Macaca mulatta: one gene and its partner. The protein of the gene in region 2 interacts with the protein of the main gene of each other region in a biochemical or structural test. Links are inferred from orthologs where the notes say so. Each region holds a gene or a part of one and is shown on either strand. Other genes may lie near its edges.

Region 1 (4,567 bases), on a different chromosome or scaffold from region 2:
CACCCCCATACCCTGGCCACACCTTCCATTCCTCTAAGATGTCCAATCTATACACCCCTGCCACCACCCCTATCCCATCTCAGCAGGAGACAATGTGTGAAAAGAAAGCTCTTCGTTTTTCTTTTTTCCTTCCTTCCTTCCTTCCTTCCTTCCTTCCTTCCTTCCTTCCTTCCTTCCTTCCTTCCTTCCTTCCTCCCTCCCTCCCTCCCTCCCTCTTTCTTTCTTTTGACAGAGTCTCGTTCTGTTGTGCAGGCTGGAGTGCAGTAGTGCAATCTCGGCTCACTGCAACCTCCACTTCCTGGGTTCAAGCGATTCTCCTGCCTCAGCCTCCTGAGTAGCTGGGGTTATAGGCACACACTACCACACCCGGCTAATTTTTGTATTTTTAGTAGAGACGGGGTTTCACCATGTTGGTCAGGCTGGTCTCCTGACCTCGCGATCCACCCACCTCAGCCTCCCAAAGTGCTGGGATTATAGGCATGAGTCACTGCGCCCGACCTGCTTATTTTTCATTCTTAATATTCACAGACTGCCCAGAGACAGACAGGAATGGGCAGTGAGGGTCAGAAGGATTAAGGAGCTTGCCTAGCCAGTGAGGAAGGGAACAAGATAAGATGCAAACCTCAGTCTCTGACTCTTGGTTAAGTGCTCCCTACCCCAACCAGCTGTCAAATGAGGTGGACGGGGTCTTGATTAGGTACATAGACACCTGAATAAGATCAACCTGGTGTGAATCCCAGCTCTGATGTTGAGTGATTGACCTAGTCTCTCTCTGCCTCCATTTTCTCTTTTTTTCTTTTCATTTTTCTTTCTTGAGGCAGAGTCTCACTCTGTCACTGCCTCTGTTTTCCACAGGAAAATGGAATCAACCATGCTTACCTGAGGGATTAAAACGAAGACAATGCCTACCTAATGCTTAGAACGGTGCCTGGAACCTAGACGATGCCGAAGCAGTCCTTCATGCTTCCCTCCTATCGCTGTGATCATCAGTACCACCACGCACTGCTTCTCATTTAGTGCCTGAGTTTTAGAGCCTGCCTGGAAGCTGGAGCCCTGCCTGGACATTTCCCTTAATTTTGTTACCCTCCTCAGAGAGGCGGCACCCACCCCACTGGCAGACTCCTCGGGAATTCTCTGGGCCTGCTTGTCATCACTCCAGACGTTGTTTAGAGTCCTTCTGTAAGCACAGCTGTTTCTAGTATCTGCAAAAACTCTTAAGGGCCCCGGGGAGGATACACACCAGATTGGGTCTGGGCTCACACTACCCTGCATCCCCAGAGCCTCCCTGGACGCTGTTTGCGAAGTCCTCACCGCCTCAAGTCCAGGAGCCATTTTTAGGGAACAGCATTCAAGCTCAACACGGCAAGTTCCCTCTTTCCTGCAGAGGGAGGAGCAGAAGGGAGCCGGAGATCGGGGAGAAGGGTGGGAGGTGGATGGTTTGGAAAAGGGATGGAGACCCAGACAGAGCGAAGCCAGTCAGCCAGGGTAAGCGAACAAGCTGCTGCCCAGGAGAAGCCTGGCCTCAGGCTCCCTGTGATAGCAGCAAAGAATGACCGCAGAGAGCGGCAGCAGGTGCTGGCCATGCTGTAGAGGGGCTTCCTGGGAGGGTCCAGCCACAGGAATCAACGGGGAATCCTGAGCCGAGAATTCTGAGGGTAGGATCTCCTCCCTCCCTGAAGCTGTGGGCTGGGCCGTCGGAAGACTTTCAGTTTTGTTTCCTTGCCTGCAAGAAACGAAACTCAACTGAAAGACTCCAGAGAGCAGAACATGGAAGGAGCCTTCTCGGTGTGCAAGAACTGGTAAGAAAGCGCTTTCTCCAGCAGCAGACCCCGGCTGGTGAGGGAGAAACGCCGAGGAGATAGGGCTGTTTCTGAAGGGAGGAGAAAGTAGTTCCGGCATAAAAACACTTAGGAGGACAAGCAGCTGGAGACCGTGGGCCCCGAGGGTAGGAGGGTCTAAACGTGATAATCTCTGGGCGAGGGTGGACAGCATTACCTCCACTTCACTGCAGCCCCTTCCCCCCAAATTTTAGGCTTCCTGGGACTGTTCTGAAGACAAATAGCCCGGCCAGTGGTCCCAGCTGGGCTACTCATACTTGTGAGACCTTGGGTCCTAATCTGGGGTTCTGATACTCTGACCTTCACACCAGTCTGTGAAAGAAAGGGTCCCACGGAGATTCTCCAGGACTACTCTCACCCTCCTTGAAAGGGAGCCGTGGGGCAGAGCAGGGAGGACAGAGCAGGGGGCTGGGACCACACCTCTAACGGGGCGGGGCGGGGGCGGGGGCGGAATCTGACCCGTGGAAAAGCCCCATTCTCAGAGCTCCCTACCTGTGGCAGGGACTTGAGTGGGACCCTCCCCGGAGAGCTTTGCTCCAGCCAGACCCTTCAACTACTCTGGTTTCTCAACCAGCCTAGGAGGAGCAGGGGGAGAAGGGACCAGGCCAGGCAGAGGAGAGAGAACAGAGGAAGGGAAAATGCTGCCGCCTGTGTGCCCGCTGCCTGGGCAGAGCAGAAGCAAAGAGCTTGTTCACATCAAGAGGAGTGAGGCTTTGACGGTCCCTCTCGGGGCACGCCCCATGTGCCAGGGACATGGGCATGCAACTGTTCTCGTCCTCTGGGCCTTTATGGCTACCGCAGTTTATCTGTAGGTCAAATATACTTCTATAAGGCTGTTTTTAAAATGAAACATTTCACTTTAAATAATGTAAATAATTAAATTATTTCAATTTCAACAATTCGAGAGAAGTGCCAACTTCTCTTGAATCTTTTTTCTTGTTTTCTGGTGCCCCTCTTTGGTCCACAGTGTTAGGAACGCAGCCCTGCTAGGGCAGCCTTGCTCCCCATTTCCCTTCTCCCGAACTGCCACGAGCAAGAGTTGATGGAAGTGAAAAGGGTCATTTATTTCTTTCTTCGTTTTTTTTTGTTTTTTTTTTTTTTAAGATGGAGTTTCGCTTCCTTTTGCCCTGGCTGGAGTGCAATGGTGCGATCTCAGCTCACTGCAACCTCCACTTCCCGGGTTCAAGTGATTCTCCTGCCTCGGCCTCCCGAGTAGCTGGAATTACAGGCGTGCGCCACCACGTCCGGCTAATTTTGTATTTTTTTAGTAGAGATGAGGTTTCACCATGTTGGCCAGGCTGGTCTCTAACTCCTGACCTCAGGTGATCCACCCGCCTCGGTTTCCCAAAGTGCTGGGATTACAGGCGTGAGCCACCACACTTGGCTAATTTTGTATTTTTAGTAGAGATGGGATTTCTCCATGTTGGTCAGGCTGGTCTTGGATTCCCAACCTCAGGTCATCCACCCGCCTTGGCCTCCCAAAGTGCTGGGATTACAGGCGTGAGCCACGGCGCCCAGCCGAAAGGGGGCGCTTCTTGGTGAAGAGGATGGTTGGAGAAAAACGCCCTGCCCAGGAAGTGGGAGGCTCAGAACCCTTCCTGCATTGTGGTCTCTGGGAAGAACCTCGGAGTCTCTGTGAGTTAGCGCAGGTGAACCTGGAGGCAGGAGAGACGGGAAGCTCTCGCTTTGGAGATTCTGGAAGTTGACATGGCCCTGGCAGGAAGCATGAGCCTAGCAGGGCTGTGTTCCTAACACTGTGGACCAAACAGGGGCACCAGAAAACAAGAAAAAAAGATTCAAGAGAATTTGGCACTTCTCTCGAATTGTTTAAATTGAAATAATTTAATTGTTTACATTATTTAAAGTGAAATGTTTCATTTTAAAAACAGCCTTATAGAGGTATAATTGACCTACAAATAAACTGCACATTTTAAAGGGTAATAATTGGTAAGTGTTGGCCTATGTTATACACATCCATGAAACACCATCACCCCCAAACCTCCCCCGTGCCCCTTGGTAATTCCTCCCTCCTGCTCCTTCCCATGCCCCGCCCCAGCAATGTAAGAGCTCTGCAGAACGTCCTTATTCTTATTCGATGCTGCCCCACTGTTCTGGTTTTGGACCCACACAGGGAGTGTGGGGCAGGAGGTCATCATCATCACATGTTCAGTGCTTAAGGCCTCTGGAGATCTAGCCCTGGGTATGAAATACAGCTCCATGTTTTATAATTTGAAAATAAGTCTGCTTTCCCATCCCCCCACCTTGACCCTGTAGCAAAAGACACGTAGCCTCTGCCCACTTCGCCCTCCATGAGGCTCACTGCCTGCGGTTCCTGGTCTTGTGCCCGGAGTGTGAGGAGCCTGTCTCCAGGAAAAACATGGAGGAGCACTGCAAGGTTGAGCACCAGCAGGTGAGGAAGTGGCAAGGATGGGGTCTGGGAATCGGGGCAAGGGTGCAGTCCTGCCTGCAGGAGAGATGGGGTCTGAGAGTCGGGGGACGAGGGCCCAGTCCTCCCTGCAGGTGAGATGGGGTCCGGGAGTCAAGGTGAGTGTTCAGTCTTCCCTGCAGGAGAGATGGGGTCTGGGAGTTGGAGCGAGGGCTGGGGACTTAAGGCAAGGGTCCAGTCCCCCAGGCAGAGACTCACTTGAGGGTCATGGGAAGTCATTCAGCCCCTCCACACGAAGCCCTGTGGAAAGGAAATGTTAATCCTGCCTTTTCATGCTAATCTG
Region 2 (3,808 bases):
TTAGATTGTATCAATGTTAAATTTCTTGAATATGATTATACACACAAAAATATAATTTTCCAGGAAAACACTCTTGTTCTTAAGACATATACACTACTGTATCAGGGTGCAAACTATTCAGGGTGCAAAAAAGTCATGGTATCTGTAGCTTATTCCCAAGTGGTCAGCAAAAAGTGTGTATTATAGAGCATGGTTAAGCAAATATGGTAAAATGTTAACAATCTGTGAATCTAGGTGTAGGGCACACAGGAGTTCATTTTACTAATCCCATCATTTTTCTCCAAGCTTGATCCTTTCCCATAATAGAGTTTAAGAGGAAAAAAAAAAAAAGGTTACTCTTACCACAGATTTGGTATCCGTGCTATGGAATAATTTGCAGTGTTCCACAAGTCCTTCCTGATCAAAGTTCTTCTCAGGACAGTAAGGACAAGGAAAGGTATAACGGTTTGGAACATTCCTGGAAGGTGAAAGACAGGAAAAAAGAAAATTTTTCTGTGAGTACCTTTCCATTCAACTTCAACCACAGTACACTCCCAAAAGGAGCAAAGCTCACCGAATGTGTAACGACAAGGACGCTGATGATCACTTTAGACTCAGATCAAGTGTTTTGAAGACAATAGCTCAGCTAGCCGGACATGGTGATTCACACCTGTAATCCCAATAGGCCAAGGCAGGAGGATCACCTGAGGTCAGGAGTTCAAGACTAGCCTGGCCAACATGGCGAAACCCTGTCTCTACTAAAAAATATAAAATTTAGTCAGGATTACTGGCAGGTGCCTGTAATCCCAGTTACTCGGGAGACTGAGGCAGGAGAATCTCTTGAACCCGGGAGGCAGAGGTTGCAGTGAGCTGAGATTGCGCGACTGCACTCCAGCCCAGACAACAGAGCGAGACTCCATCTCAAAAAAGAAAAAAAGAATAGCTCAGCTAACATCTGAAGTGAACACCAGAGTCCTCCCTTGCATACTCCTCCCAAAATACTTGTATCAGCTTTAGCCAGCATAACAATTCATACAACTAAACCCCTGACCATGCAAGGTGTCCAACCTCTTTGTATTAATAGCAAGAGATGACCTCCACCTAAGGGGAGACTGAGTCATTTACCTTGGCTGAAGAGATGCATCCTTAATGGTGGCCTTCACACCTTCCATGATGTAATTCTGGTATTTGGAACAAGTAGCCACATGGGACCGGATCTTGGATAGGAAGAACTCAAATAGGAAGAATCAGAGCCCACAAGTTAGTGAGGACCTTGTAACAGGCCAAATGTAGTCCCAAACAAGGGCGCAAAGAAAACTAGACCTACACCACCCTGGCAAATAATCTCACCAGACTCCTGACTATGCTGATGGGGCTGAAACCCTGATTATTGCAGATTTCCCATTAATAACAAGGCTGCTATTTTATTTGACTAAATCAGGATATCCGCTTCCACTCTAAAATAACTCTTCTAGAGGTTTGCTCCTATTCATGACAGGCTGTGTGCTCACAGACAAGTTCCAAATCTAGGATGTTGTTAAAAGTTTTCTATACTAGCATTTAAACTAGTCTCCTTATAGCAAGCCAAAAACCACATTCTGTTATGTGCAGCAGAGAAAAGTGATCATTTAGGTAAAACGTATAAAAGCCACCAACCCTGATTAAAGTATCAATCACCAGACTCTGAGAAATAATCTTTAAAATCTAAATTTTTTTTTTTTTGAGATGGAGTCTCACTTACTCTGTTGTCCAGACTGAAGTGCAGTGGCACCATCTTGGCTCACTGCAACCTCCGCCTCCCGGGTTCAAGTGATTCTCCCACCTCAGCCTCCTGAGTAGCTGGGGTTACAGGCGTGTGCCATCATGCCCAGCTAATTTCCATATTTTTAGTAGAGATGGAGTTTCACCATGTTAGCCAGGATGGTCTCGAACTCCTGACCTCAAGTGATATGCCTGCCTTGGCCTCCCAAAGTGCTGGGCTAACAGGTGTGAGCTACCATGCCTAGCCCAACCTTTCACATAAAATCTAGGCTGTGCAATAGTAAAATAGAAAGAGAAGAAAACCCAGAGAATAATGCTTCATTACAGGTTTTCTAAAAAGAAAGAAAGTTTTAAGAATTGAAGAAAAGAGGGAGGAAAGAAAAACATTTTTAGAGGCATGCCAACCATACAATAACTGATCTTGAAAATGGAGAAAAGCAAAAGCACACAGTAAAACAAACAAAAAGCTCATCATGGGTGGAGCGTGGTGGCTCACACCTGTAATCCTGAGGGAGGCTGAGGTGGACCATCACTTTGCACTCCCAAGTTTCAGATCAGCATGGGCAACATGAAAACTCTGTCTCTACTAAAAATACAAAAAAAATTAGGTGGGCGTGGTGACACATGCCTGTGGTGCCAGCTACTTGAGAAGCTGAGGTGGGAGGATGGTTTGAGCCAGGGAGGCAGAGGTTGCAGTGAGCCGAGACCACACCATTGCACTCCAGCCCGGGCAACAAAGCCAGACTCCGTCTCAAAAAACAAAACAAAACAAAACAAAACAAAACCAAAAACCACATTATGCATGCATAAATAAAGATGAAGAGACCGGGTGCAGTGGCTGACACCTGTAATCCCAGCACTTTGGGAGGCCGAGGTGGGCGGATCACAAGGTCAGGAGATCGAGACCATCCTGGCTAACACGGTGAAACCCTGCCTCTACTAAAAATACAAAACAAAACAAAACGAGATATATACATATATATGTATACATATATATATCCGCGCGTGGTGGCAGGCACCTGTAGTCCCAGCTACTCCAGAGGCTGAGGCAGGAGAATGGTGTGAACCCAACAGGCGGAGTTTGCAGTGAGCCGAGATCATGCCACTGCACTCCAGCCTGGGCGATAGAGTGAGACTCCGTCTCAAAAAAAAAAAAAAAAAAAAAAAAAAAAGGCAGTAGGAAACTGTAATTCAGTATCTTGAGTTTCTAAAAGTAAACTTCAAAGGGGGAAAAATGCTCCAAGATTGGAGCTCCAGCTTACCATGATGATTGTCTCACCTCCAGCTAAAGAACTTGACTTTAAGCTACAAACTGAGGAATCCCCAATTTTTTTTTTTGTAGAAACTGGGTCCACTATATTCCCCAGGCTGCTCTCAAACTCCCGGGCTCAAGCAATCTTCCCACCTCAGCCTCCCAAGGAGCTGGGACTACATGCAGACACCACTACACACAGCTAGTTTTGTTTGTTGGCTTGTTTTGGTATATACAGTGTCCCACTATGCTGCCCAGACTGATTTCGAACTCCTGGGCTCAAGTGATTCTCTTACCTTGGCCTCTCCAAGTGATAGGATTACGGGCATAAGCCACCATGCCCAGCCTCAATAGTGAAGCCCCCAATTAAGATATAGAAAATAGCCCTATTCAGCATTAAAATGGTCCTACTATGCATCGCTAATACTAAATCACCCTGAAAAGGAGATGGTAAGGTATATTCATACTATGGGCATCCATACCGAAGTGTTAAAAAATAATGAAACTGACATGCAAGGCTGTCCAATATGTAAGAGAAAAAAAAAACTGAAAGTGAAAAAAAAGTTGGGAATGAATGTACATTTAAACAAGTGAAAAAAGTTGAAGAAACATATATATTATAGTGTGATCTCATTTTGCAAAAATTCTACAACTGGGTTGGTAAACATTCTACAGTTTTTACCAACTTTTGGTAAAAATTTGTCAAAGGGCAGAAAATGTTATGTAGCTTTCGAAACTGAATCACTTTTTTTTTCTTGAGACAAAAAAAAGTCCAGCTCTATCGCCCAGGTTGGAGTGCAGTGGTGAGAACTCAGC

The links.
Region 1: the proteins of RNF114 (region 2) and XAF1 form a complex in vitro, tested with the Homo sapiens proteins (2 studies listed by BioGRID). The link is inferred for Macaca mulatta from reciprocal best matches to the Homo sapiens genes RNF114 and XAF1.

The regions. Positions count from the first base shown.
Region 1 is NC_133421.1:8,229,367-8,233,933, forward strand, and holds the start of XAF1 (XIAP-associated factor 1), read left to right. Parts: upstream 1-1,767; coding exon 1,768-1,799; exon of another isoform or gene 1,800-2,226; intron 2,227-4,112; coding exon 4,113-4,248; intron 4,249-4,567. UniProt on the Homo sapiens protein: Seems to function as a negative regulator of members of the IAP (inhibitor of apoptosis protein) family. Inhibits anti-caspase activity of BIRC4. Induces cleavage and inactivation of BIRC4 independent of caspase activation.
Region 2 is NC_133415.1:102,783,118-102,786,925, reverse strand, and holds part of RNF114 (E3 ubiquitin-protein ligase RNF114), read right to left. Parts: intron 1,212-3,808; coding exon 1,105-1,211; intron 458-1,104; coding exon 343-457; intron 1-342. UniProt on the Homo sapiens protein: E3 ubiquitin-protein ligase that promotes the ubiquitination of various substrates. In turn, participates in the regulation of many biological processes including cell cycle, apoptosis, osteoclastogenesis as well as innate or adaptive immunity.